Linked DNA regions of Zea mays. Each later gene encodes a partner of the first gene's protein in a complex. Links are inferred from orthologs where the notes say so. Each region holds a gene or a part of one and is shown in the gene's direction. Other genes may lie near its edges. The genes, in order: Probable mediator of RNA polymerase II transcription subunit 26b, Mediator of RNA polymerase II transcription subunit 13-like, mediator of RNA polymerase II transcription subunit 18, Mediator of RNA polymerase II transcription subunit 32-like, Mediator of RNA polymerase II transcription subunit 31, Mediator of RNA polymerase II transcription subunit 33A and Mediator of RNA polymerase II transcription subunit 28-like.

Region 1 (4,188 bases):
TTAATATATACTCTTCCATTTCCTTTTTCCTTCCTACTATCTCTGCTGCTACACGAAGCCAGCATATGGTTGCTAGTGAAAAGGACACACGACTGGCCCTTCGGCTACCCCAGCAGCCACTCCAAAATGGAACACCCGCGTAAGTCATACTACTGTAGAAAATTTAAAAAAAATGAAAATAAAAAAAAGAACCTCGAAACAACCCTAGCCAGCCACTGTCCCACACTACTGGTGGGAGACGCTAGATGCGCACGCAGTGCACAGGGGACAAAATACAGAGACGGAATTCCTTCTCAACAAAAAGCATGAAACACATGCCACTTTTGAAATGGGAGTATCTATGCGCGGCGTGGGAATAAGCCAGGATGCTCGGATCAAGATGCTAACACTGCAAAAACAGACGATGCATTTCTTTCGCTGTTTATTATAGTTTCATCAGATTGTTTGGTGTAAGATTTTGATGGCTATAGTATTTTTTTTTCTTTTCCCGAGATTTCCGGAGAGGATTTTTTTCTTCTTTTTCTTTCCATCTCTCTCGCTCTTTTCGTTCAATCTTACTTATTATACCGTCACCCATTCTTATCGTTCTTGTTTTTTTGCGACCATGGGTTATCATCTCATGTATTGCGAAACCTATAGTATAGCATTCGACTCCTCATCTCATGTATTGCAAAGCATCGCGGACCTCTTGTGTCTTACGATTTTGCCACCTTGAGAGCCTGCTCTGTACTAGGTGCAGCGCGTCGCACGACTGTGTTAAAAAACTCGTCTTCCGTCTTTTTTTAAAAAACAAATGCACAACAGTTGCCTACAACGACAAGCATTTTTTTTCAAAAGTTATATTCATGTCTCGTCAGTTGTTTCATATAGAATTACGTCTTTATTGTCTCATTCAACCTATCAACTAGAACAAGTACCACGCACCAAGCTGTATTAAATTCACTACAATAAATTTTTTATTTAACACACATTGTACATGTTCCGACTTTATATGGATTTTTTAAAAAAATTAATGATTAAACATTGAAATACGACATGAAGAAAACAGAATAAAAATATATGATAAAGCTTGTGAGGGCATCCCATCCATTTGACATGACACGCTGTGTGCAGTGCTGAAAATACTTGTGCTCGGTAGTCGGTACGCAAATGACTTTGCAATTATGGCCCGAGAGAGATATGCTTTACCAAATAGTAAATAGTTCAGATTATACGCAACTAAACAATAATCATGATGGAAAACCACCCTGTGACTTTGTGAGTGAGCATCATCAACCTAGCAGCACTGCTCCTCAACACAGAGAGAGAGAGAAGGAAAGAGACCGGAAAGGGCGCCCCCCGACGCCCGAGTCGACCGCAACAAGAATCAGCCACGCCGCGTCTCACCCATCTCCCGTAGCATTTCCGCCATCTCCTGCGGGTTGAGTACGGCCGAGTCCTGCTGCCCTTCGCTCGCTTCTTCTGGTAAATTGCAGTTTGTTACCGCAATTGCAGCTGCTAGTGGTGGCGAGGCATGGGCCATGGGAGAAAGACTAGTTGTTGCTGGTGTTTGGTAGTAGTAGCCGCGTAGGTCTCGTGGGTGTGCGCACCCTGCCTTCCCCGTCCCTATCCGCCCGTCTCATCGTCATCCCCTTCCTGTCTTCAACTTCACCTTCCCTGTGTTTCCTCCCCGCTTCCTTCCGCTCTAGGGGTCAGCCAGGCAGTCCAGATAAGATTTGCTCTGGTTAGGCTACCTCCGCGCCGCGCTGGAACTCCCTCCCGGTGAGGTTGTTGAAACCGACAAGGAACGGGGACGTGGGGCCCGAGGAAGGTCACGCTGCTAGTTTTTTTCCTTCGCGATCGATCCCTTCCGCCTCCGGATTCGCCCTGCTCTTGTTCCTCCGCTGTTTTCTCGATCGGTTGGCTGGTGACTCTGCCCCTGCCCCTGCCCCTGCCCCGGCCCCGATTCGGGGGAATCTGATTCGCCGTTGGGCGGGCGGGAGAGATTGGGTTCTTGGTTCTGGTGCCGGTGCGCGCGGCGTAATTTGGTAGCAGATAGAAGCAGGAAGGGGGAGCATCGGCCCTTGGCTGCGCTGCTGAGAATCGCGGTCGGGGGAGGCTGATCTTGGCGACGGTGGCCCGGCGGGGACCGGTGGCGGCCGCGGCGATGGCCGACGGGCTGGATCGGTGGCGCGGCTTCTTCCGTGGCGCCGGCGCTGGCATCTGCGACGTCATCGAGAACGCCATCCTCGTGGCGGCGGCCGACGCGCCGCGGGACTTCCTGCACCGCCGCGACCGCATCGCTGAGAGGCTCTTCACCGCGCTCCGCCGCGACGCGGCGCCGCCGTCCTTCGGCAGCGCCGCGGCGTCCACCACCCCGGCCACTCCCGTTGAGGAGGACAAGGGCAGCGTGCGCCGCGTCGCCGAGAAGGAGTGCAAGGTCGACAGCAGCAGCAACGGTACCCACGGCGGCGGCGGCCATGGCCATGGCCACGCCGATGAGGACGATGATTCTGACTCTGACGACGAGCGCCTCCGCCGCGCCGCAGCGAGCAACTATGGCCACAACTACGATGATGATGACGAAGATGGCGACCAACAGGAGGAAGATGAGCAGCAGCATGCCGCGGATGATACTGAAGAAGGGGAGGAAGACCACGACGCTGAGGAGCTCGAGGCGCTCACCAATGAGATCGATGAGGAGTCACAGATCGTCGGCGAGGTCCTCCGCATCAAGGAACTCCTCCTGCACAAGGAAGACCATGTACTGGCAGACTGCCTCGTTTCTTCATTTATTTATAAGGTCCTTAAACTTCGAATTCCTCTGAGCTAAATCATGTTGTTCCTGCAGTCGGATGCCACTTTGTTCGATTCACTGAGGAGGCTGCAGTTGATGCAATTGTCCGTCTCTACGCTAAAGGTACAAAATGGATATTGCGTACATATGAGCTATTTGATGTGTTGATCCCTGTTTGCTCTGGCTGTTTGGTTTCTTAATCTTAGGACTGTTCATTGCAGGCTACTGAGATTGGAAGAGCTGTTAATCGGCTGCGGAAACACAACTCACGAGAGATTCGGCACCTCGTGTGCACTCTCATTGAGTAAGTTCCATCTTCATTTCTGTCAATTTTGGTCCCTAGTGCTACTTCTCTGTTGCTTTCAAAGTGCTTAATAGCAGACCAAAATCACTGATCAAATATCAACCAACCAATTGTAGATTAGCTACATAATCATTGGAAGTGCCTTCTTGCTAGCGTTCTTGGAAATGTTGTTGACATATGAGGTTACCTTGTGTGTTTCAGAGGTTGGAAAGTTTTGGTTGATGAATGGGTCAGTACCACAAATGCTGCCCTGACAGGTAACTGAATTGAATTGATCTAACAGTTTCTAAATGAAGACTGGCATCTTAGCTTAATATGGATATTTGTTCTTTGGTGCTGTAGAGAACTCCCCTGGCTCTTCAAATCCTTCTGTTGTGGATGAAGAAGAGGAAGGGCTTCCATCTCCACCTTTGGACGAAGGGGCCTTCTTTGCCACCCAAACCACTTCTATTCAACTCTCTGAGGTACTGATATAGTTAATTCCTGCCATCTGATTGGGATTTGTGTTTAACAACAATCTGACTCTGTGTCTGTTGTTTTTCCTCCCATCTCCCCAACCTAAAGTTCTTTGACGAAATGGATGAAGATGGAAGTGAGTACAGCAATTTAGCAGTTCTTAATTTTCCATGCTTATTGCTTGGTTTTAACATTATGATGATTATTAACGTTGCGCATACGGTGCCAGATTTGAGACATAGTAATGACCCGAGCCTTGGAAACAAGAGGGGTAACAATGGTGGGAGACTTGCAAGCCATTCAACGGTTGCAAGGCAAGATCCACCTCGCTCTTATCCTGGAGTCGTCGAAAGAGTTCAACCCAGGAGGCTAGAACTGGCAAGGCAAGAGCCACCAATGAGGCAAGCGAACCCACAAACCCTCCAAAGTTCAAGTTTGCAAGCCAAACCTCACGGTGCGCTCAACAAGCAGTCTAATAATCCCTCAAGTTATGAATCTGGACCGGGGAGACCAGTAAAGGCAGCTCAACAGAGACCATTTGGTGACATGAAACCTAAACAAACTCGAGAGCATGTTGCTATCGAGAGAAAGCCTATGGCAAGCCAGACAGATGTAAGTACACGCAACTAAGGCACATGTTTTTGACGATGGT
Region 2 (4,052 bases), on another chromosome or scaffold:
CGGTAAATTGTTGAATTAGGAAGAAAATGTGTTGTGTCACATTTGTCTATCTTCACACTTTTGTGAATCGATTTAAGGGTGTCACTATTTTTTCCCAATTCATTTATCAGTCTGCTATACAGATCCATGATCTCCCTTTATTTTAATTGTGAGTCAACCATGTCTATCTTCACACTTTTGTGAATTGATTTAAGGGTGTCACTGTTTTTCCCAATTCATCTATCAGGTTGCTACACAAATTTCTGGCCTCTCTTTATTTTAATTGTGAATTGATTTAAGAATAAGTTACATTCCTCATCCTTTTTAACATAATTCTCTCAGTCACCTTGTTGATTTTTCCTGCTACTGTCCTCACATTTTGCTCGACCTTTCACTTCCCATTATTAAGGAAAGCTCTTCACTGGCTTGATCTATCGAATGAAGCAGCCAAAAATCGTGCTACTGATTTTTGTTTCCGGCAAGATTATTCTGACAAGAGCTAAGGTTAGCATCTATTTCTTGAGCATTATCGTACATCTCATTTTTTTCTGATCGCGTTAGAGTATATCCAACTTTTTTCTCTTTCCAGGTGAGAGATGAGACGTTGTTTTTAAAATTATCTATTGAGTCCTCATAAAGTTCATAAAAGTCCGACAATGCTAAGTACATGGTAATTGCTAATGGGCATGACTAATTAGGGTATGTTGTTCAAGTATGTGCCCAGTTGTTGTTGTTGTTCCTCTTTTATCGTTTTGTTTCCTAATTTCGACGATACCATTACCTGGATGCTCACGAGACTTATATGATAATACTATCCTTCTATAGAATCAATGTGTTGATTAATATTCGCTACATATTTATCATCGTTTATTTTTTATCAATGACAAAGCACATGTACAATCTTATATACCTTTTAAGATATGTAAACGTCCACTTTTGATGATAATAATAAAAGTATAGAATAACATATAATATTTTTGCATATCAATGTATTTTATTACTATTTAAATTGCACATAAATTTCATGTCATTAGTGTTAATTTGTGAGATATAGGGTTGATAATCTATATGTTGTTCGTTTTATATAATTTTGTGTATTAATATTTATCAAATAATTTATACGCTGTCACAACGTACGGGTATTGAATTATGTGACGATGTGTTAAAAAAACATTAGAAAAAAAGAGAAAAATGATAGTATGAACTTTTATTTGGTGGCCCATCTCCCCCATCTAATTAATTCAGCGTAAGCCCAAGTTCCACCAGACCCACACGTTTCTTTACCCAGCGAAGGCACTGCATCTCCCATCTTCGTCTTCCACGCAGCGCCGGCGCTCCATCTTCCGCAGGCGACGGCGGCGGTGCTCAGGCGCGGGCTCTTAGCCGCGGCGGCGGTGCTCAGGCTCGGGCTCGTAGAGGCGGCGTCAGCGTCTTCCCCTCCCGCCTCTCATCAGTCACCTCGCGCCTTCGCCTCCGGTCCTCCGCACACCGGCCGGTGTTCTGCGTGCGTGCTTCTCTCTCTCCTCCCGCCTCCGGTGGATCGTCAACGGCGCCCGACCCCTCAGGCTGCGCCGCGCGCGGCCTGAGGGCAGCGGGAGCCAGCAGCCGCTGCTCCAACAAAGGGGTTGCGCCGCTTTGGGAGCGCTTATGCCCCAAAGCGAAGCGTTACACGTCCTCTTAGCGCTTCAGCTTGCTGAAGCGTGCGCTTAGTGCCGCTTTTTGGAACCTGGCAGTAACTATGTGGACGAACATTTTCAAAATAGTAAGTCAGACCTTACTCCTGCCCCTCTCCCCACTCTTTGTTATATTCTCTCACTATCTGATGTGGCTCCATTTGTGCAGCACCAAAACTTGGCAATTTGTTCCATTTTGGAATATGCTTGCTTTAAGTTTTTTATTTGATTGTAGCTTCTCGCTAAGTGATTCACATCATCTGGTTCTCAGCCATTTCAAGTTGATATTCTTTCCAATTTGAGCAACATAATGCATTTCTTAATGTCATTGTTATTATATGACAATTATCCGAAGCAATAGTTCCTTTGTAAGTACCGCAAATATGCTGTGATGAAAAAACAATCTCTAAAGAAGCATCTCGAGACCTCGAAGAGAAAGAAATGCCATGAATTTGTGACCAGAGCATTTTTACAACTCAGGCCAACACATTTTACATTGTCAAACCCAGAAGTTGCAACTCATTTTTTTGTTTGGGCCATTCAGCAAATTTGACTACCCAGGCTTTCATATCATGACTGGCATACCTCTTCAAACCATCTAGATTCTCATTGTTATATTTTTCCCTAACAGGGGGAGCTCCAAACAGTTTCTTGGTTTCAGTTTCTTCCTATCGAACCCGATGCAAGTGCAGCGTCTGAGAAAAGGTGCTGTATATGCTTCTTTGATGGCCTTTTGTGCTTTATCTTAGTTGTCTTTGGGCATTCGTTATTTATGTTTGGAATCATTTGCTTGTTTTGTGTATACACGTTCTTATTTCAGTTCAAAGGTCGAGCAGAAAGATGCTCTTAATAGCATTGTGCTTTCGGCTTATCTTCACTTACAAAGTGAAGGTTTTCTAAGTACTTGGACTAATTCCTTTGTTGGTCCATGGGATCCATCTCAAGGAGAGCATAACCCTGGTAATGATCATATGTATTGGCTTCTAAATGTCTATCTATTTTTCTTTCACCTTAAGTTTGGGCTTGGATAATGTATACCACATGGCTTTGCTATAATTACAGATGAGAAGATCAAGCTCTGGCTGTTTCTTCCTGGCTGCCACTCATCGGTATCTGAAATCGCCCAACCTGCTGTAAACAAGCTGAGAGGTTAATTCTGGTTGATTTTTTTTATTGTGATGTCTTAATCCAATGTCCCAGTGCTTATGTATTGCATCTTTCTACTGCTTATTATTTTGCTCTGTAGTTGCTTCAAATGGTTTATGGGTAGCCCCAGGCAACTCGGAAGAGGTAGCAGCTGCACTATCACAGGCTTTAAGAAATTCTTTAGAAAGGTATTCTTGTAGTTCTTTAATATTTGATGCAGAAAGAAATCACCAAGATTTTTTGCTGGTTGGACATGAATATCCCTGTATTTTTTGGGGTGCAGATCACTGAAAGGGCTTTCATATGCAAGGTTTGGTGATGTTTTTACAAAATACAACCCCCCTACAAGAAATCAAAACAGCTTTAGGTTTGTTAGCAAAGTTTTTTACACTTTTATTTGCTTATTCTGTTCTTTTTCCACTTATCAATGCACGATAAGCTGTCAGTTAAAGTTCCATGCTTGGTTTGTGAGGGTTTGGAGGATATGTTGGCTCACTTTATCACAAATGACAGCAGAAGTTTTGCTCTTAAAAATATATAGTATATACTATGTGAGACATGAAATATGTAATGGATCCTGCTACTATTGTGCTTAGATAGGCTTTTGCTTATATATTGATACACTACTCTTTTTGAACAGACCTAATTGGATCATCAATCTGCACTGTAACTATATATAACTTATCTGCTGTTTTTCCTTTCACCATAGGTTTTGGCAATGATTTTTGTGCCATTTTGTTAACCTTTATTATATGATATGCGGATGTGTTGAACTGTTGATGCTTTTAACTGAAGAGATCATTTGGCTACCTTATCTTGTATCGGAGCATATTGCCACAGCTGGTAGTATTCAAGGACTCTACCTTTCCTGATTTCTTTATTCTCATTATTATTATTTTAGGAGAGCACAGCCTACAGTCGAGTTTGTCTTTGCTGCCACCGAGGAAGCAATATTTGTTCACGTTGTAATATCTGCTAGGTAAGTACTTAATGCTCACGAATGCTTGATATATTGCTGATCTTCAGTATATATATGTACTGATGAGTGATGACCTTGTTTTAAATAATATTCTACAAGGTATGTTCGGAACCTTTGTAGTGATGACATAGAGAAAGTTCTCGCTCATTCTCCTCCCTCCATCGGTGAAGGTCTTCCAGGTACTGTTTTCCATCCCTCAATAATGTTTGAGGTCTTGCTTCTTTTGTTGTACCATTGCAGCGCTTTGAAAGACTTCAGACTTCCTTTATTTTTTT
Region 3 (4,223 bases), on another chromosome or scaffold:
ATCAGAGTAAGGTAATTAGGAAAGGGTTTTGTCCATTTCTATTTAGGTTTCGTCCTACAGTCAACATTTTCTCTGATACCACTTCTGTCACACCCGGATTTAAGGAACAAAGCCGAATGCATCTCATACATGTGCCAAAGAAGACAACATATATAATAACAGAGTGTATAGAGATAAATGTCACAATAACATCAGAGTACTTATTACATCGCGGAAGTCTTACAAAATAAAAGATAAATATAAATCGAACTAAAATCCATCTTTAGCGCCAATAAGTCAACTGGGAGATGCCACCTAGATTAGATCAAACTCCTCATTGTGTGCCTCCTCCTGAACCACCTGTTCTTCTCCTATGGGGGTGTGAGACAGAAAGGGTGAGCTCACATATGATCATAGCTCAACAAGTTGTGGGGAAACTAGTGTGCATGAACTCACCAAAGGTGAGAGTTCATGTGAAGTGTAAGGCTGATCAACAAAATAAAGGTTGAAGCTGAGCATTGCTTTTATAAGTTGGTCAAAATTTTATTAGCAGTTACTAAGTGTAAGTAAATACCAAACCATAATAAATAATAGAACAAAATTAATAAGTAATCACATGCAATGCAAATGACAAATTGAATTTAAGTTCCATTAATTAATCATGCGACAGTTCTGAGCTGCTCATGACCATGAGCTCGGCTAGTATACCAGTTTTACACTCTACAGAGGCTGTACCCTGTATCCACAAGTAATGTTACCCATCTACCAAGGGATCGCGACTCTCATACACCTCTACCAAGGAAGCGAGACAGGGCAACACTACGAGGCCTTTATAAAGTTCCACTAGATTTCGACTTGCAAGAATCCCCCGTCTGACCGCCATCGCAGCAAAATCAACCGAGAACCTCTCTGCATGTAACTCTCTTACTGCCGTTGCCCCTTTCGGGTAAGGTAGTTTTCCACTAGCTTTCCTAATTAGTTAGTCAAGGGGTCTCATTCCTCTCTTGTGGTGACACATGTTTCTCAAGTTAAGCTCTATGTTCCAATTAAAGATAATAATCTTGACATGAATAAAAATAAAATAACAAAATAATTGGAACATGGATATAATGAAATATTAACCCAAAACCATGTAAAGAAATAGTAAAACTATCAAGTGATTTAGGAATAAAAAGGTAAAGTGATAACATATCTAGAGTAACCTATTAGGTCTTATCAAAATTAAAATAAAAAAAGTGACAAATAAGGCTGAACAACCCCCGCACCGCGACTAGGCTGAACAATCCTGACTCAAGCCCACGGTTTATCTTTTCTGTCCGAGATCACCAAATTTTGATACTTTTTTCGTTTTCGCTATTAACCAAAAAAACAAATTTCAGTCCGTTTTAAATGGATTTGATTCAAAATATAACAATATAAAAAATAAAAGATTAGTCAACGAAACGAAATTTGGATCATTCCAAACGAGACTGTGAACTCTCCCAGCTCAAGCCCACCTCCCTGCTCAAGCCCAGCCGTCCACTGCCTGGCTCCCTCGTCCGGTCGTTCCCGTCTCCCTCCTCGCGTCGCGTCCACCATTGTTCCTGTCGACGCTGCGCCGCACGGCTCGCACCGCCGACAGTGCCTCAGTCCTATCGAGCCTCCCTCTTCCCAGATCAGGCCCTAGCTGGGCTACAGCCGCCGCCGCCGCTGCCGCATCCGTCACCTTCACACCGCGTGCGCGCGCGCTCTCTCTCTCTCTCTCTCTTTGCGACGACTGGACGGGCTACCGCAGTCGCCACCATAGGCACCACGCCCTTCGCTGATCTATTCGCTGGCGAAGAACGCTCTCAATGTATTCCCACTCCCACCCCCTTCTTCTCTCTACCCGCTGTGCGAAAACGAGTTCCCGAACTCTAACCTAACTATTTGATGTCTACTAACTTCTAATTTTGTTTTTTACTGCCATACTGGTCCACCCCTGATACACATATAACAAATCCACTAACGTGATTCTTTTTTTTTGGGTGCAAAATCATTGTGGGACAGTAGAAGATCGATGGAGTGCGTGGTGCAGGGAATCATCGAGAACCAGGTATTGTGCCACAATGCAAGTTGGCACTGATGGTTTATGTAAAATTTGATTTTCACGCATTCCACTAACATTTGAAAGATAGGAGCTCTTTCATCATCGTTAGTGCAGTCTATTTTGTTATGCAGATCAGACATTAACTTTTCCTCTCACTGCTTGCATCTAGATTTGATAAGTATTTTGAATGGTGTATAGATTGTTAATATCTATTTGTAAGTATATACTTATAGTATTGAATTTGTTGTTGAACATTTCGTTACTAATTGAATTCCGTTGCTGTGGACAAAACAATCTCATATTGATGTACATGTACAGTGCACAATGTTGAGCTTACGCACCATACAATCTAGCTTCATTTTAGTGTTCAGTTGAGCTCCCTTAGGTATGGCCACTATCCATAGTTGCCAGTTGGTGGTCACTTTTCTGTTTACTCCATCACAGATAAATACTAACAAAAGTTTATTTTATTGAAGTGATAAATAGATAGATCATGTAGACCACTAAATGTCAACAATTTATTCCGCGCTTTAAGGCACTACTTCTGGAGCTTTTGATTTCATTTGTTTTTTTTCTTCTCAGCATGTTAACAGAATAGTAACATTTAATATACAGTTGGGGGAACATATGATCTATCCTTGTGCTTTTACAATAGAGAGGAACTTAATTTTTTGGTATGTTCTAGTTTATGTGTTGTGCACAGAATGTAAGTTGCTCTTTGTTGTACTGCTCTGCCATTAGTTTAACCTTTGTTTGATCTTTCCATTTTGCAGCATGTCGATGCTCTTGAGGTTCTACTCCAGGGACTCTCTGGTGTCCCGAAAGAGCGTTTTAGGGTGCATGAGCTCTGCCTTAAAAGTGGGCCCAATCTAGGTTAGTTTGTGATTAGTCTACTCCTCCATTCCTACACATGTGGCGTATTAACTGACGTCTTGCAATCATACAGGTGTTGTCCCATCGGAGGTTCGTTTGTTGTGTGACTTAGCTCAGCCCACACCATCCTGGTAACCGAGACAAGCTGCTGAAAGTCTACCTTTTGTTATGTTTATCATTAATTGTGACAAGATTGTAGGACCATAAGACATGTTGGTGGTGCCATGAGAGGTGCTGGTGCGGAGCAAATCTCAGTTCTGGTTCGTACAGTTGTGGAGAGCAAAGCTAGCAAGAACGTCTTGCACTACTTCTACACCCTAGGGTACAAGCTAGACCATGAACTCTTGAAGAGCGGTTTTGCATTTCGTTTCCACCGAGGTGCCCAAATCACTGTCACTGTTACATCTGCTAACAAGATGTCAAGGCTCCATGCAACCGATGAAGCTACGCCAGTCACTCCTGCCATACAGCTAGTGGAAATCACAGCTCCTGCTGCTGCTGATAATTACAATGATGTTGTTTCAGCTGTCACTGCGTTCTGTGAATATCTTGCCCCGTAAGTACCCCAAAGCTTGAATTCCGAGGCAACAATCAGAAAACATATAAGAATGAACCAAACACCTTTTTGGTTTTAATAATCCTTGGAAATCTGCTGCAGGCTGCTGCATCTGTCAAAACCAGGACACTCGACAGGAATCGTTCCAACAGCAGCCGCTGCTGCTGCCTCACTCATGTCAAGTGGCGGTGGCAAAACCTTGTAATGCTGCTAGGACAGCCAAAGTCCGTTCTTGCTGCTAGGACAGCCAAAGTCCGTTCTTTGAGATGAGTGGGCGTGGCTAATGAGGTGGCCTTCTTCGTGCCGAGCATTTGAGCAGTCAGTTTTGCCTGCTAGTGTTGTCCATGTCTGACACATCGTTGTGCCAACCTTGCTCTTGGTTTGACTGGTTGCATGATTGCTGATGGGTAATGCCCTGCCTTGTAGTTGCAGGGTGTAACAATCTAGTATTACCAATATTAAAATTTCTCAAAAATCCAAACCATAATTTCTTTTCTCAAAAAGAAGTTTATCTCATGTGTATATATTTTTCAACTAGGTGAGTGCCCGTGCGTTGCGACGGAAGTAAAAAAATTGTATGAAATATATAAACGGAACGACAAATATCATTATGATATGCAAAATCCGTATGGTAAACATTATCAATATTAGTGGCATGTCCTTTGTGGAAAGACCACCCATTAAAAAGTCATTGATGCACCCATCGGTCGAGACGTTGACAGGAGATTAGTATGACACTTAAGATTG
Region 4 (3,757 bases), on another chromosome or scaffold:
TTCAATGTACGGTAACGTTTAATATACTACGTATTGTGTATTAATAGAGTGATTCACTGATAATAACACACCCATTTGGTTACATGTCAAGCCAGATGACATGTCTAGAACTATCTAATCAGAGTCACAATCAATAGGGACAATCGTAGCAGTAAGCCAACACACCACTCAGCTCTTCCTACATTCAGTGGCGGATCTCCAACCGAGGCTGGGGCTGCCTGGGCTGCAGCCCGGTCGCGGCCCAAAAATCAGCGAATAAGCCCATCAGCTCCAGCCGCGCGACCGCGTGAACAGCCTCCCAGTCGTAGGTCGCTCCTCCTCCCTCTACCCACGAGCTTCAGGCCTCCAACCGCCCACGCCCCGACGCCCGGAGCACCGCTGCAACCCGCAGCGTCGCTCGCCCGGAGGCCGGACCGCCGGAACACCGCCGCTAGCCCCGCCCGGAGCACCGCCTTGACCACGCCGCTGTCCAGCCGCCACTCCGCGCTCCCTCCTTCTGCTAATTCGTGGAGCTCAGGTTTGTACACACGCGCTGAGAAGAAAGTGTGCTTAGCTATTAGCTTGTTCTTGCATTGGAGTGATGAGCCAGACAGCCAGTGATGTATGGCCTTGCCATAATGCCATGCGCGGTGTGCGGCGTGTGCCAATGCCCCTCCAAGCTTTCTGTTGGGGGTTCCTTGTTCTGTTGGGAGTTTGGGACGATGAAGGAATAGGAGGCCAAGAGAGTTTCTGCTAATCTGTGACAGATCATGCAGGAATAGGACGTCCCATGCGAACTGCGAAGCAGAAGCAACGAAGGTGAAGCTGTGATCTGTGAAGCAGACAAGCAGTGAAGGTGAAACATGTGCTATTGTTTGCTTTAAGTTTGATTTGAAATTTTGATTTGATTATTTATTTGGTAGTAATCCCATGCTTATAAGAATAGGATGGATAAATTTTTCATCAAGAACCAGAAGAAAGATGATTCTAATTCTAAAACAATTAGGATAAACGAGAGTCTTGTAAAAAAAAGACCACGTATAGTAGCTCTGGATCCGCCACTTCCTACGTTCTGTCCGCACGATTGATCGCGAGCTTCCCAACAACACGCGTCCAATAATGTAATTTTTAGAATTTATTTACTATACGGTCTGGGAAAACAATATTATTTTTTTAGAAAAAAATCCATGCCTACAATCTCTAGCCCTGGTCCAGATGCGTATGTCGAATAAAAAGGCCCATCCTGATCTCGACCCGATATCGATTGGGCCATTTCGGCATTTCCTGTTTTCACGCTTTGCTTTCGGTTTCGGGGTCGTCGTGTCGAATTGGGGGCTGAGGCCGAATTGGATCGTCAGAAGCTGGGGGTGAGGGAGGGATGGAGGCGACTGTGGACCACCTGAGCGCGGCGTACGACGACTTCATGGCGGCGGCGGCGGCTGTGGTGGAGGCCCGCGTACAGTCGGGCGGCGAGAAGAAGACGGCGGCCACGGACGCCGCGCTCGAGGCCTTCAAGCAGCGCTGGGAGATCTTCCGCGTCGCCTGCGACCACGCCGAAGAGCTCGTCGAGTCCATCCGCCAGCGCATCGGCTCCGAGTGCCTCGTCGACGAGGCCACGGGGTCCGCCTCCGCCGGATCCGTTGCCGCCCCCGGCATCAAGCCCATCAGCGCCGTCCGCCTCGAGCAGATGAGCAAGGCCGTCCGATGGCTCGTCATCGAGCTCCAGCACGGCGCCTCTGCTCAAGGGACCGGCGGCAGTGGCGGTGCCGCTACCCCAAATGCCGGCGCTGGAGGGCAACACCCGGAGGAGGGTGCCCAGTAGGTATGGACTATGGAGTTACTGAATTAAACTAGTAGCATCGCCCTTCTCATATGAAAATTGTAGCATTTTTCCTTCAATAGAAAACAAAGAACTTGTCGTTGCTGTGTTTCTATGAGTGACAGCATTAACCTTGCGTGTTGATATTTGCAAGAACATGAACTAAGGTGCCGTTTGGTTCATATATTTGTAACGTAATGGGTAATGGATAACGTTAAATCATGTTTGTTATAGTCCAACCGTAATCAGATACCGTACTAAAATTTGATACCAGCCTATTCAAATTTGTTACCGCCAGTAATCGAGCGTAAACTATTACCATTACCATTTGCGTTACATTTTTTGAACCAAACAGCACCTAAATCATTGCGATTTGCTGGCTGTTGTTTTTACCTTTCCATTTTGAGATATACTACTACTCAGCATTAATGTCTTTATGCCCATTGGTTATTGCCCAATCTTTACACAGATTGCTAAAATGCTGCTCTCCATAAAAAAAAATTATAGTGTCGTGACAAAGCATGAGAGGTATATAGATCTAATTACATGATGACCAGAAAAAAAAAACCTGGGGGTATAATGCTGCGCCAGTTTTAAGTCTGTACCTGTTTGGACCAGCCAGTGTATGGGGATTGGTTGTTGCAGTTTTTGATTTTGAGTCAACTCTTTTGTTGAGTGAAGAGATAAGGTTGGGAACTTGGGATCCCTGGTTTGAGATAGACAAAAAAACTAAAAAAGGGCTGATCCAGTGCTGGAGGCTCTCACACGAGTGGGGTCTAGGAAAGGGATGAGCTTCGAACTCACGACTTAAATTAGGTGCCGTTTGGTTCCTAAAATGTAACGTAAATGGTAACGGTAATGATTTGCATTCGATTACCAGGGGTAACAAGTTTGAATAGGCTGGTATCAATTTGTAGTGTGGTATCCAATTACAGTTGGACTTAAACAAACATGATTTAACGTTATTTGTTACCTATTACATTACAAACATATAAACCAAACAGCACCTTAGTTCCTTTATCGTTCTATAGATCCAAAGTTTTATTCACCACTGCTATGGTCCCTACAGATTCATGATATTTGAGTTAACAAAGCAGTACTGGTTTTCATTGTTCTCAGAGTATATTCACTAGTCATTTTCACAAAAGCACGAACTGAATTGAACAGTAATTTAGTAAGATGGTTACCAAGAAACCAGATATGCCCATCACTGTATCTCAAATGTATGTTAATCTATTATGTGCAGAAAAAAAAGATTTGACTATGCTACATGACAGTATGCTGATAAACTATTGGAAGTAAGCAGAAATGTGGAGATGTCATAATCTGTTTGTATCGATATTATAGGATCTGTAGACAAAGTACAATTTCACAATTTGATGGCTGCACTCAAGAGAATTGGCTGAGGACTATGAACTACTCCCTCCATTTCTAATTATAAGATTTTTTGGCTTTTCTAGATCAATAGTTTTTGCTACACACCTAGAAATATATTATGTATAGATACGCAAAAGCTATGAACCTAGAAATGCCAAAATGTTTTATAATTTGGGACAGAGGAAGCATTAGCAGAAAAAACATGCGTTTACATCCAACATGGATTAAGACGCGTTAACGCATTATCATACCAAAAACATAGATGATATGGTGAGCAAAGTGCATTATCATACCAACAACAGTAACATGGATTAAGACCACAACTGATTGTTAAAATTTGGCCACTGACTCAATATAAGCAGTGTACCTAAAAAATAGAGCTGAAATGAGATAATCTGTACAGAAACTTTAAAGGTTGTAACCAATGCCAAATTCAGAAAATAGAGCTAGATAAAATATTAGCTCCATAAGTATACCGGACTTTGATAAATGTAACATGCTGAATGATACTACTCCGTATCATGTGAGAAAAGGATCTGAGTATCTGGTCGATTAATTTAAGAATATATTAAGACCTGGAAC
Region 5 (3,995 bases), on another chromosome or scaffold:
CCGGTGTCCCATCTGGCTAGCTCTGCCAGATAGGCAATGATGGCGCCCCGCTAGCCCTGTGACGACGGCGGCTCTCAGCTCCCTTACGGAAGCAGGGGAACGTCAGCAAGGACCCAACCGCTCCGACAGCTGTCCCTCCGCCAGGCTCCGTCGCTCCTCCGACAGCCACGACACCACACCAGCTGGGTGCCAAGATCTCTCCGGCTGCCACATCGGCATGTACTTAGGGCGCTAGCTCTCCCCCGCTAGACACGTAGCACTCTGCTACACCCCCATTGTACACATAGATCCTCTCCTTACGCCTATAAAAGGAAGGACCAGAGCCTTCTTAGAAAAGGTTGGCCGCGCGGGGACGAGGACGGGACAGGCGCTCTCTTGGGGCCGCTCGCTTCCCTCACCCGCGTGGACGCTTGTAACCCCCTACTGCAAGCGCACCCGACCTGGGCGCGGGACGAACACGAAGGCCGCGGGATTTCCACCTTTCTCACGCCCGTCTCCGGCCACCTCGCTTCCCCTCTTCGCGCTCGCCCACGCGCTCGACCCATCTGGGCTGGGGCACGCGGCACACTCACTCGTCGGCTTAGGGACCCCCCGGTCTCGAGACGCCGACAGATGTCCTAGAGGTTGACAATGGAGCGCGAGCATATCTACCGAGTAGGGCGCTTTGTGATGATCGATAATAGATAGATCTACAAGAGGGATTTATAGTTGGGTTAGTTTGACTATAGCAAAATAAGTCTTATCCCCTCTCTATTTTATTAGACGAGAAACGGGGGAGAAATAAATCTACGTACGTGATCCACGACACGCGAAGATATTTGGATTGAGTTAGATTAAAAAAAAAATACTTCTTTTTTATCAGAGACGATGTGAAAACTTAAAAACCAGTGCTTTACGTAGCAGAGAGTGCTTCAGAGAAGAGAAGAGAGAGTGACTATATTATTTTTAGGAAATAATACTCCCTTGATTTTTTTATTTGTCGTCGAACAAGTCAAAAATGAATTGGTGAGCGTCATATATAAAAAACTAGAGGTAGTATAATTTTAAAAAGGATTAATAAAAGTAAAAAAATTCCAACCGCACACGGCACCTCCTCTCGTCCGTTCGCCGCCTGGCTCGCACCGCTGACAGTGCGTCAGTCCAGGTCGATACTCCCTCTTTCCAAGATCCGGTCATTCTCTCTCGGGGTCGGCTACCGCCGCCGCCGTACGCCAGGTGCCGACTGCCGAGACCTTCTCCGATCTGTTTGCCGGCGAAGAGCGCCCGCCAAGTATTCCCACCCTCTTCTCTTCCCTAGTTCCCTGTCTGCTGTGCGAAATCGAGTTCTCAAAACTCTAACCTCAGACTATTTGATTAATGTGTGTACACATGTACACCCTTGTTCCTTTAATAGATCTGCCCCTGGTTTCAACCGATTGAACCCCGATGTCCGACGTCGAGAACCCTGGCGTGGGTGGGAAGCCGCCGCCGTACAAGGACCCTGACAATGGGAGTCAGCGATTCCTACTCGAGTTGGAGTTCGTGCAGTGCCTCGCCAACCCTACCTACATCCACTGTACTGTACTGTCCTCCATTCTCTTGTTTCATCTCACCTTGTTGGGATTAGCTAATCTGATGTTGCACGCATCTATAGAACGTTTTCCTGTACCGGTTTGTTACCAATTTTGATAGGGGCTGTGCTGCTAGTAACTAGCAATCCATTGCAACGGACTGAAAATTTTTGTAGAAGTGTGTGTTTGTCAGTAAGTCCCTGCTTGAGAAGGGAGCTAGGAGTGCTTAGGAATTTTTAGTACTAGCCTAAATCCCATTCTCCCCTATTCAAACTGGTCTCGTCTGCATGGGCCTCATGAGCGGTTTCTTATCAATAGGATATGATTGCTAAGCTAAGGCTGTGATATTGTTAGTAGTGTTGCTTGATATCATCATTTTGTGTGCCTCATGGCTCCTTGTTTTTTACTTGAACTTTCTTGTTCAATGCACATCATGTTTGGTACTGCATGGATGATTTGAATGCTCTTTCTTTTCCCAAATAGATCTAGCGCAGAATAGATATTTCGAGGATGAGGCATTTATCGGGTACCTCAAGTATCTAAAATACTGGCAGCGACCAGAGTATATCAAATACATAATGTGAGTGATACCATATTCAGTGGTTTTTTCTGCAACAGAGGAAATGGCTTGCTCATTGTTTTTGCTGATGATGCAGGTATCCACACTGCCTTTTCTTTCTTGAGCTTCTCCAAAATGCCAATTTCCGAAATGCAATGGCACATCCAACAAACAAGGTGATCTTTTGGCCTAGAATCACACGTTCACACTTGAGCACCGTTTTTAGCTTTTGTTTACCGTCTTGCAGTGTCATCCCTTCTTTCAAAACCTAGCTGAAGTTGCTCTGTTGGGCCATATTATTTTGACTTGCTTTCTAGAACCTATAAAAAACAGAAAGTCACACAAACTTGATATGAGTACTTTTGTAGAACTATGCAGCACGTATACTGATACATGTATCGGTATCACAAGGATACTGATACACAGATACAGCAATTTCCTAAAAATTCCCATTCATGAATACATTTTACTATTTTTTAAATAAAAGGATAATAATGCATATTAAAATGGATAGCAATCTAACAATGAAACACCACAATCTACTTAACTATTTAAGTTCTAATTAAAGCACAGCAGGTCTCAATTCTCAAATACAGTAGTCTCAAATTTAAGAAATTAATAAAAGGCATTCAGGTTTGCAATTCAGGCTCGCACCAAGTTCCTATTCCGCATTTGTCTTGCTTGTTTCATTCTCATCCACAACATTAAGCTGGAGATCACCCAAACCAAAAGACACAGCTTGCAATTCAGGCCCATCAAGGGAGAGGTCAGGCACTTCAAGGATGCCAATACCACCAAGTGAATAAAAAAATCTCCTCCCACATCCCACATCATTGTCTCTCCTGTCTTATATGCATCAGTTCTTTTTGGCAGACAAAGACCAAATCTTCAACATGCTCTGAGTTATGGCATTTCTCTTGACACTATGGATAAAGCTATAGATGAGGCTGGTTGGCTAAGCAATTTGGTGGCCAAATTCATCAATAAGGGAATAGGCTGTCCATGAGTTGTCCACAAAGTCATAGGGGAAACAGCCAATCTATCATAGATTGAGTCAGGATCATTAGATTCTTTTGAACAACTAGAGAACCTTGAGTACTCTTCTTTTACTTTATTCAATTTTTCCAGCACGCGAAAGAACTTGAAGCAATTCATCCTCATCTTTTTATATCTCTTTATTCTTGTGGGGTGGTTCATGGCTAGGAACGGGAATGGGTCGGGTCGACCCATTGGGTAGTCGACCTGACCCACAAAAGTAAGGCCAATAGGTCAAACGTCAAAGGGCCGCTTCAAAGTTTAAATTGGCTGATAGGGCCAGAACCTGTTGACCCAATGGGTAATGTAGGTCTACCCACTAGTTGCATAACAATATTTTTCTTGAATTTGTTGGTCTTCGTTATTTTTTGTTTCAAATAAACACGATTAGTCATAACTTATAGACACGTCTATGCTTGGAAGTATGTCGAGGAATATCTGGAAGTATAAATAGTTAAAATACAAAATTGCATTATTAATACTTTGTGCATCGCAGATCATAACCAAAATTCTAAAAAGTGTTAAGCCATTCATGATAACTAGGTTTGAACCATGCATGACTCCCAGCAGAATTTTAGAGTTTTGAACTATGACTAAAATATCATTTTGGACTATGACCAATGTTTCAACCATGCATGCATGCACATACAGGGAGCAACAGCCATTAGTTGGATCTGGCTATGGTGCCCAGCAGTAGCCCTCAGCCCACTCTTGTTTGCAACTGCAAGTAGGCTGAGGGAGCCGCCACTTGGCCACTTGCATTATTTGCACCGGCTAGTTACCTGGTCCGGAACCTTGTGCCCAGCTGCGTTAGTGTCCTGGCGGCCAGGCCAAACCAACCAAGCTGCAGG
Region 6 (4,000 bases), on another chromosome or scaffold:
TCACGATTGAAGTAAGAGTGTTCTCATTTGATTTTTATTGTGGTTAGCTGAGCAAACAAGGGGAGAAGTTGACGGCTTATGAGCACTGTGGCACACAGCTGCTGTGCTCGCTGGATAAAAAAATTTGGACGAATAAATAAATCAGTCACAAAAATAAAACTGGATGAGAAATAAATCAGGACAAACAAATCAGCGACATAAACGAAAAATATGGACAAAAAAAACAAATAAGTGACAAAGACAAAAAATATTAAAAACCACCCACCATGGGGCTCGAACCCGCGACCACAAGGTTAAGAGTCTTGTATTTTACCAATTAAGCTAGACAAATTTTCTATACAGAACAGAGCTCGGCGCCATGATCTATGGCGCCGAGCTCGGTACCACGTCGGCCCCACGACATTCGTTTGTGCCAACGCAGCACGTACCTCGGCGCCATAGCCTATGGCGCCGAGCTGTGTTACCTCGGCGCCACAGGCTACGGCGCCGAGTAAATGGTCAAAAATGACATTAAAATTTTCTAGGGTCTAAATGTGATTTTTTTTCCGATGAAGGACCAAAATGCAAAAAATTCGGAACACACGCATACCTACCGTCTTCTCCTACTAGTACTAAAAAGAGAGAGAGATTTGTTTGGCGGAGAGCGAGACAGAAAAAAGTAGTACCATATCTGCAGGTGAAGTGGTCAGGCTGTGTCACTGTCAGTTCCCACTCACTCACTGACGCCGTAGTAGGTGAGCGTGAACTCAACGGCCCAACTCCGAGGGCCGAGCCTGACGCATCGCCACAGTACCCAGCCAATCCGAACAGGACGACGGCCGGCGTGGCCACCGCGCCGCGAGTTGGGCTGCCGGACGGACGGTCGGTCGGCGGGGCCCGCCGCGCGCGGGCTGCAGCAGCAGCTTTTTTCCAAACCGCGAGCGACGAAGTCAAGGGCGCCGGGACCACGTGTCAACGGGTGGGGGCTGGATCACGGCAATGGCACCACCACGCCACTTGGTGTGGGACCACACGTACCTCCAGGATCCGCTGCGGCCAGTGGTAGCCTGGCGACTCCATTTTCTCTTGGTTGGAAAGCTCGGTCACGCAGAAGATCCTGAAGCGGCGGCCCCACCGCGAGGTGGTGCGGTGGGGGACTGGGGGGAGAGGTGGTTACACCAACGGGACGCCATCAGCATCATCGGCGATCGGACCACCACCAAACCAACCCAGCAGCACAGCACCTGCAGGGCTGCAGCAGACACCACTCCAGCAGCCTCTCTCTCTCTCTCTCCTCACCGGCACGGCACTCCACGCGGCGGCAGGAGCACCCACCGCCACTGACGGGCGGGGGGGAACACGCGCGGCCATGGCCACGTCGGCGCCGCCACCGTCCTCCGCGCCGTGGCTGGAGTGGGCCGCGGAGTATACCAAGGCGGCGCAGGCCGAGGCCCGCCCGCCGCCGGAGTGGGCGGCGCGGGTGGCGGCGGCCGCTGCGGCGGCGGGCGAGAGTGAGGACGTGCCCTGGTCCGCGGGGCTCGCGGAGGTGCTGGCGCGAGCGCTGTTCCCCGGCGGCGGCGGCGGCGGTGGCGGGGCTGCCCCGGCGGCCGCCGCTTGGAAGTACGCGGAGGCCGCGCTCGCGGCGCGGCTTGCGTCCCCGGCGCTCCTCCTCGCGCTCCTCTCCACCAGGTGCGGTCCGGTGCTTCGTGGCGTCGGCTTGTGCGTTGTGTCTGTGGCGTGGTCCGTGGCGGTTGGTAGGATCGGAATGGCGGAATGCAGCGCTTAGCTGTCGGGGATCTAAATCGAATCAGTTGCACCTCGAATGCACGCAAGCAGTTTTACGACGTGTCCGGTCAGGTGTTTGCCCGTACACGAGTTTTACCAGGAAGCTGACGTGCTTCGCCCCGATAATTTGAGGGGGCGGAAATACGCTGTGTGGCAGTGTCATGTGTCAATGCATTGCCAAATGACAATGTGGGTAGATCACACCATGGGAGAAATGCCTGTTTTAAGAATATATAAGCAGTTGGACACTCAGTCGGTAGGCTAATCAGGGCTTCACTGCAATCCTCGTCCAGTTTTTTTTTTCAAGAGAAACAGGGTCTTGTAATAGCCAACACGGTTAGTTTGACCTATGTTTTGGGACTGGAAAAGTAGTTAGATTAGCGTGTGGCAAATCCCACTTAGTACTAATTATTTCACTGGCTGGTATTGCTGTCGTGCAACGTGCTTGGATTGTGTGGTGTGTGACCTTATGATGGAGTTAGGACTTTTCTCAATGTTTATTCTTATGGACTTCGTTTGTTCTTCGGGTCCTGCAGGGTAATTCCTCACCGGCTTTCCAGGCCAATGGAGTATAGACTCTACCTTGAGCTCTTGAAAAGACATGGGTTCAACTTCCATCATCAGATGAAAGCAGCAAATTTCAGAAAGTGTGCCTTTCCCCTCTCTGACTGCTCCCTGTATTTTCTTAACACTATGCTCAAGTCAGTGGTCTGGAATGAGAATCAGAGTAATAGGTGTAGTGTTCAATGTAATTTAGCATTATTCTTAATGGCCTTAAAAATAAGCATTTCAGTTTCAGGTGTTTGTAATTGTAATAAGGTTTACACTTGTATATACACCTTGTTGTGTGATGTCTCTGTAGTGGATTAGTGGTCATATCTTAATGGCCTTAAAATAAGCATTTCAGTTTCAGGTGTTTGTAATTGTAATAAGGTTTACACATGTATATACACCTTGTTGTGCGATGTCTCTGTAGTGGATTAGTGGTCATATCTGTCATTTCCAACTAAGGGCCCCAACTTTTATATGATGGAAAGTCTACTTGTCTTGCAGTAATGCATGCAACTTCTCTTGAATTTGTCAAGGCGGCATTTATTGCCGAAATTCTTCTGGAAATTTTCTTATATATCTTTTATACATTACTTATGTTCTTCACTTCCTAATACTTTGCACTGTTATTGCTCTATAACTTTAAATTGTTTTTTGGAAGTAAGAGTGTATGTGCTTCCATGTGGTTTTTAAGCTTGTTCCTTGCACTGTTATCTATTCATGCACTCTATCCCTATAGAAGTCTCAAATGCAATTGAAAAAAGGGCCTGTCTTGCAGTGTTAAATTTGCTGGAGCAATAAGAGATCCTTGCTAAAGCCTCTCTAATGTTTGCAGGATCATGGATATAATAGAGCGGAATCTTAGACTTTCCAAGATATTTGGCATCTCTACATGTGAACCAGGGGTTTTTGTTGTGCATTTCATTCTTTGTATTATATGGCAGTTGATTGATGTTGTTCTGGATGATGAGGGCCTACTAGAGTTAACTCCAGAGAAGAATGCTCAATGGCCAACAAGGCCTGAAGATGTGAGCACATTTGAAGGAACTTTTACTGAACAAAGAACTGAGAAGATCAAAAAGTTACAGAAGATGAACACTGTAACAACTATGGAGCTCATTGAGCATCTTCTTCGCGATAAAGTAATTACTCGTATCCTATCATTGGCACGCGAAAACATGTATGTCTTTTCAACTTGAAGTACTCTTTTACTGAATTGTTTCAGGTCTTTATTTTTGAGCATTTGGAAATGATGAATTCATCTTTTTGCTGATTGGTCATTAGTAATCTGTTTTCAAATATATTAGTCAAATAACAAACTAGATCTTCATCTCATAGGCTCATGACCTCATAAACTTCACTCAAGCTTATGGAGGAAGCCTTGGTTTATTCCTGTTTGTGTGGGATTTGGGTTTGGGGAGCTACAAATAATTGCTCAAGATTTTGCCAGTAACATAACCAATGTATCATAGAATATTCTGTGTATTTTCTCTAATGCAAACATTTAAGATAATGTTCTAGAAGCACTTAGGGTTATGCAAAAGGAAAAAAGTACAACTGTCTATGCTTGTGGTATTTTATTCGCCTTACCTCTTAAATAGCCAAGAAAAGTTTTGATAAAAACGGCAGCCATGGGACTCGAGCTTTGTCATGATCTGATGAACTGATGGGTGAATGTAAACATCAA
Region 7 (3,618 bases), about 22 Mb from region 1:
CCTTAAGTGATTTACTAAATTTTAGGTACCTGAATTTTAGTTTTTAGTGTGTTGTAATTTATATAGACATAATCTACATTTTTACTCTTAAGAATAAAATATCTATTGAACAAAATCATAAATTTGGTAGATTTTGATTTGTGTTGACATAAAGACCATTAACATTTTGCAATTATTTTAGTAGTTAGCTAAGGGAAAAAATATAGGTTATAACATAAAGGTAAACAATAAAATTATAGTCTTAGACCCCCTTTGGACCCTTGGAATTGAATTCTAATATAATAATTGTAATTTAGACATAAATCAATTAAACTAATATGGTTTTATAGTGAGTATATTTGTATATTAGTGTTGGCCATATTTGAGAGATATTTATATGTTACATTTCTACTATAGGAGAGTGAGTAGAAGAGTGTGTTATAAATTACAGAGTAGAAACGTAGAATTGAATACATAAAATCAATTTCCACCCCATCTTATGAATTTGAGATGAGTTTATATCTAAACTTTGGAAAGTGGTGTAATATCAAATTCAAATCAAATAACCTACTCTATTAAATACTCCCTCCAGTCTTTAAATACTTGATGTTTAAGTGATTTTCACTTTGGATGCAAATACTTGATGTTGAAGCATTTGAAGCTTATTTTGGACTAGCAAATGCTTGATGTTGAAGCATTTGAAGCTTATTTTGGACTAATATACCCTTGATATAAGTGGTTCACACATTCTTCCACATATGCTTAATTATTCTTATCGTGAAGGTTTGATCTCACGACCTAGTGTAAAATTCTTTAGGACCCAACCATCTAGGCTAACATCTTCATGTGTTTGTTGTGGAATCTAAGCGTATTTATTAGGGGTATTATGGAAAATAACAACCCTATTTAATAGCTCCTTGGTATATGAGGTCATGTCCAAAACATCAAATATTTGAAGACTGGAGGGAGTAAATTCCAATTCTTTGAAAATAAAAGGATCCAAATGGTCCTTTATTAGCAATCAGTGGTATATAAGAGTGTTGCCTAAATTTTAGGCACCAAAATATGAAGAAGTGTGCTATTATAAAAAAGAAAAAATATTTCAGAAAATTGTCAGCCTGAACAAACTATGCGCTTTCCTTCAGCCAAGGCAGCCTCAGCCCTCGAGCCTATGCCTATCCAGGCGCAGAACACGCCATTTGTAAACCAATCCTAGCCGTGCGTCTTCAATCCAACGGAAAGTTCCTCCTTGTCAATAGCAAATCGGAGGCCCAAGCGCTCCCAATCTCTCCGGGTCCTCTCTCCGCATTCTCCGTCATGGCTGAGCCGACGCCGTCGCAGTCGCCAGCGCAGACGCCGCCCCCGCCGCCGACGCAGCAGACTCCCGCGGCGGGTGGGCTCGAGGACATGCTGGCGTGTGTGGCGGCGCTGGAGGCCGCGCTGCTGCCGTGCCTCCCCGCGCGCGAGCTCCAGGCCGTCGACCGCTCCCTCCAGTCCTCCCACCAGAGTACGGCCGACCCCCATCATTTCCCCACTCTCCTCCTCTAGAGGTAGCTTCACTTTGATCCGGCACGGCTTCGACACCAGTAAAGTCTCATGGTGTTCGGTCGGTTAATGGCGCCGTCGCGCGCCACATGTTCGTTGTTTTGCCTACGGGATGGATAAAGGGATCTTGCTCTTTCTAGAGGAAGATTTTGCATCTTTCTTGTGCCCAGGAAATTGTATATCGATTGGTTTCTTAGGTCCTAGACTGAGAACTCAACTTGTATCAACTGTACCAATCAGGCAATCACATTGCAATGCTTATTAAAGAAGTAAATCACATTTTTAGATACCGACTTAATAGTGTGCAATGCTTATTAGAGAAATTTAATTGCATTTTCTCATTCGTTCCTGCCAAACAGGGTATCTAAGTGTTGTAGTCTCTACTAAATTGGGCAGTTGATGTTGAGAGGCACGCAAGGGATTTCATGGAGGCTGCCAAGAAGCTCCAGTCTTATTTCATCAGCCTGCAGCGTGAGGAACCGCCATCTGCAGAAGAGATGCTTCGAAAGGTATATTTCTACTTTATCCTCGTATAGTTAAGAGTGCGGCAAGGATAGTAGTTAAATTAAATTGGGGACTGGTTATGGAGAATGAATTAATTATAAAGTGTTTGGTTTGAGGAATGAGCTAGTCCATCGTCTTCTCACTTCTCTTTTTTTATTTGATTTGTGGAATGAAATAAGGAATGGAGTCATTCCTTATAGTTAGTTAGTACTAATATGAGAAATAAGGTCATCCCAGCAAATTTGAGGAATGGACTCATTATACACCACATCATTTTGGATTGAGTGACTCCTCAAACCAAACACTCCCTTAAAAGTTTTCATTGGTGATAGGATTGACATTTCACATGATATGATCATCCCAAGTACTGTGATCATTTGTGGTTGGCACTATACTTAGGAATAGCCAACTTTATAAATCACATAGTGCTACTTGCTACAGGCAGTTTGTTACACTCAGTATAAGCTTTATTACAAAGACTCCTATATTTCTACTCGAAGTTGAGGTGTTCATTATTGAAAGAACTGGTAGCCTGCCTGAATCGTCACTTCTACAAAGTAATGTTCCCAAGGAACACCCAATCACATTCATACACCTAACACCTTCTGTGCTCATGAATTTTTCATGCACACGTTTCTGTAAAAAAATGCCTTTGCAGTAGTTGAGAGAATCACAGGTGCATAGTTGCTGGTCTTAATTAGGAATTTGGGATACATATACCCACCCAATATTTATCATCTCGTTGGCATGTTCGGTTTTGCATTGCACAGGAGATTACGACAATGGAGGAAGAGTTGAAGAGCAAGTCTGAGCTCATTGCCAAGCACAAGAAGTTGATTGAAGGGTGGCAAAAGGAACTGAAGGAGCAGCTGAGCAAGCACATCACGGAGCTTGAAAGGGTGTGAGGAGTGCGATTCTGCGGTTTACCTTGTAGTGATCATGAACCTCTAGGTGACCAAATGTTATGTTATGCCCTATAAAACTGTGTACATGTGCTTAGAATCTGACGCCATGGTTAGCAATCGCCTTTTGTTGGTTTCTTAAGGTTGGAAGCCACGAACAAAGCCCACTTTATCTATGTTTGATTGTGTACCTTTACTTGCCCCATGGTCTCTGTTGTTGTGCAAAATGAGTCTCTGCCATCATAAAACGACATAGAATGCTAACGGCTTCCTGTCTTTATGGGTAAACTTTGGGTGAATTTATGGGTAAACTTTGGGTGAACTGTTGGAGTCAGCCTAGCGGGTTATGTGCCTACTCTGGATGGCCGCCATGTTCGCAAGTTCCTTTCTATCTTTACTCCATTTGTGCCTGGATCAGCTCGAACAGAACCTTCTCCTGACAAAAAGCCGAGCCAAGTGGCACAGTTGCTACGTTGAATACACGAGCAAGCGAAAAAAAACACTTTGTGTTTTATCTCCGTTCCTAAAGGTGCACTGCCAGGTTGTTCAGTAATCCACTACTAGTCAAAATCTTTCTCAATCCATTTCAATACACCTTAATCCATATGATTTTGCTATAAAATGAACAAGACCTAAGGACATAATCCTTGTCATCACAATTCATATGGATTGGAGATAATTGGATGAG

The links.
Region 2: Probable mediator of RNA polymerase II transcription subunit 26b (region 1) and Mediator of RNA polymerase II transcription subunit 13-like share a complex: the UniProt entries of both Arabidopsis thaliana proteins name them as parts of the mediator complex. The link is inferred for Zea mays from reciprocal best matches to the Arabidopsis thaliana genes AT5G05140 and GCT.
Region 3: Probable mediator of RNA polymerase II transcription subunit 26b (region 1) and mediator of RNA polymerase II transcription subunit 18 share a complex: the UniProt entries of both Arabidopsis thaliana proteins name them as parts of the mediator complex. The link is inferred for Zea mays from reciprocal best matches to the Arabidopsis thaliana genes AT5G05140 and AT2G22370.
Region 4: Probable mediator of RNA polymerase II transcription subunit 26b (region 1) and Mediator of RNA polymerase II transcription subunit 32-like share a complex: the UniProt entries of both Arabidopsis thaliana proteins name them as parts of the mediator complex. The link is inferred for Zea mays from reciprocal best matches to the Arabidopsis thaliana genes AT5G05140 and MED32.
Region 5: Probable mediator of RNA polymerase II transcription subunit 26b (region 1) and Mediator of RNA polymerase II transcription subunit 31 share a complex: the UniProt entries of both Arabidopsis thaliana proteins name them as parts of the mediator complex. The link is inferred for Zea mays from reciprocal best matches to the Arabidopsis thaliana genes AT5G05140 and MED31.
Region 6: Probable mediator of RNA polymerase II transcription subunit 26b (region 1) and Mediator of RNA polymerase II transcription subunit 33A share a complex: the UniProt entries of both Arabidopsis thaliana proteins name them as parts of the mediator complex. The link is inferred for Zea mays from reciprocal best matches to the Arabidopsis thaliana genes AT5G05140 and RFR1.
Region 7: Probable mediator of RNA polymerase II transcription subunit 26b (region 1) and Mediator of RNA polymerase II transcription subunit 28-like share a complex: the UniProt entries of both Arabidopsis thaliana proteins name them as parts of the mediator complex. The link is inferred for Zea mays from reciprocal best matches to the Arabidopsis thaliana genes AT5G05140 and AT3G52860.

Annotation. Positions count from the first base shown.
Region 1 is NC_050103.1:106,778,747-106,782,934, forward strand, and holds the start of Probable mediator of RNA polymerase II transcription subunit 26b, read left to right. Parts: upstream 1-1,388; 5' UTR 1,389-2,146; coding exon 2,147-2,743; intron 2,744-2,830; coding exon 2,831-2,899; intron 2,900-2,997; coding exon 2,998-3,080; intron 3,081-3,281; coding exon 3,282-3,337; intron 3,338-3,422; coding exon 3,423-3,544; intron 3,545-3,644; coding exon 3,645-3,672; intron 3,673-3,765; coding exon 3,766-4,148; intron 4,149-4,188. UniProt on the Arabidopsis thaliana protein: Component of the Mediator complex, a coactivator involved in the regulated transcription of nearly all RNA polymerase II-dependent genes.
Region 2 is NC_050104.1:30,374,727-30,378,778, forward strand, and holds the start of Mediator of RNA polymerase II transcription subunit 13-like, read left to right. Parts: upstream 1-1,252; 5' UTR 1,253-1,717; coding exon 1,718-1,741; intron 1,742-2,283; coding exon 2,284-2,357; intron 2,358-2,472; coding exon 2,473-2,612; intron 2,613-2,714; coding exon 2,715-2,801; intron 2,802-2,898; coding exon 2,899-2,986; intron 2,987-3,081; coding exon 3,082-3,165; intron 3,166-3,699; coding exon 3,700-3,777; intron 3,778-3,876; coding exon 3,877-3,956; intron 3,957-4,052. UniProt on the Arabidopsis thaliana protein: Component of the Mediator complex, a coactivator involved in the regulated transcription of nearly all RNA polymerase II-dependent genes.
Region 3 is NC_050100.1:126,532,858-126,537,080, reverse strand, and holds mediator of RNA polymerase II transcription subunit 18, read left to right. Parts: upstream 1-1,423; 5' UTR 1,424-1,813; intron 1,814-2,007; 5' UTR 2,008-2,017; coding exon 2,018-2,053; intron 2,054-2,820; coding exon 2,821-2,920; intron 2,921-2,993; coding exon 2,994-3,051; intron 3,052-3,119; coding exon 3,120-3,476; intron 3,477-3,578; coding exon 3,579-3,681; 3' UTR 3,682-3,945; downstream 3,946-4,223. UniProt on the Arabidopsis thaliana protein: Component of the Mediator complex, a coactivator involved in the regulated transcription of nearly all RNA polymerase II-dependent genes.
Region 4 is NC_050101.1:142,578,410-142,582,166, reverse strand, and holds Mediator of RNA polymerase II transcription subunit 32-like, read left to right. Parts: upstream 1-1,238; 5' UTR 1,239-1,357; coding exon 1,358-1,801; intron 1,802-3,044; 3' UTR 3,045-3,257; downstream 3,258-3,757. UniProt on the Arabidopsis thaliana protein: Component of the Mediator complex, a coactivator involved in the regulated transcription of nearly all RNA polymerase II-dependent genes.
Region 5 is NC_050096.1:207,962,300-207,966,294, forward strand, and holds the start of Mediator of RNA polymerase II transcription subunit 31, read left to right. Parts: upstream 1-1,195; 5' UTR 1,196-1,270; intron 1,271-1,393; 5' UTR 1,394-1,425; coding exon 1,426-1,555; intron 1,556-2,033; coding exon 2,034-2,130; intron 2,131-2,206; coding exon 2,207-2,285; intron 2,286-3,995. UniProt on the Arabidopsis thaliana protein: Component of the Mediator complex, a coactivator involved in the regulated transcription of nearly all RNA polymerase II-dependent genes.
Region 6 is NC_050097.1:165,234,306-165,238,305, reverse strand, and holds the start of Mediator of RNA polymerase II transcription subunit 33A, read left to right. Parts: upstream 1-1,200; 5' UTR 1,201-1,348; coding exon 1,349-1,668; intron 1,669-2,300; coding exon 2,301-2,411; intron 2,412-3,148; coding exon 3,149-3,493; intron 3,494-4,000. UniProt on the Arabidopsis thaliana protein: Component of the Mediator complex, a coactivator involved in the regulated transcription of nearly all RNA polymerase II-dependent genes.
Region 7 is NC_050103.1:84,916,337-84,919,954, reverse strand, and holds Mediator of RNA polymerase II transcription subunit 28-like, read left to right. Parts: upstream 1-1,150; 5' UTR 1,151-1,296; coding exon 1,297-1,486; intron 1,487-1,920; coding exon 1,921-2,033; intron 2,034-2,798; coding exon 2,799-2,933; 3' UTR 2,934-3,118; downstream 3,119-3,618. UniProt on the Arabidopsis thaliana protein: Component of the Mediator complex, a coactivator involved in the regulated transcription of nearly all RNA polymerase II-dependent genes.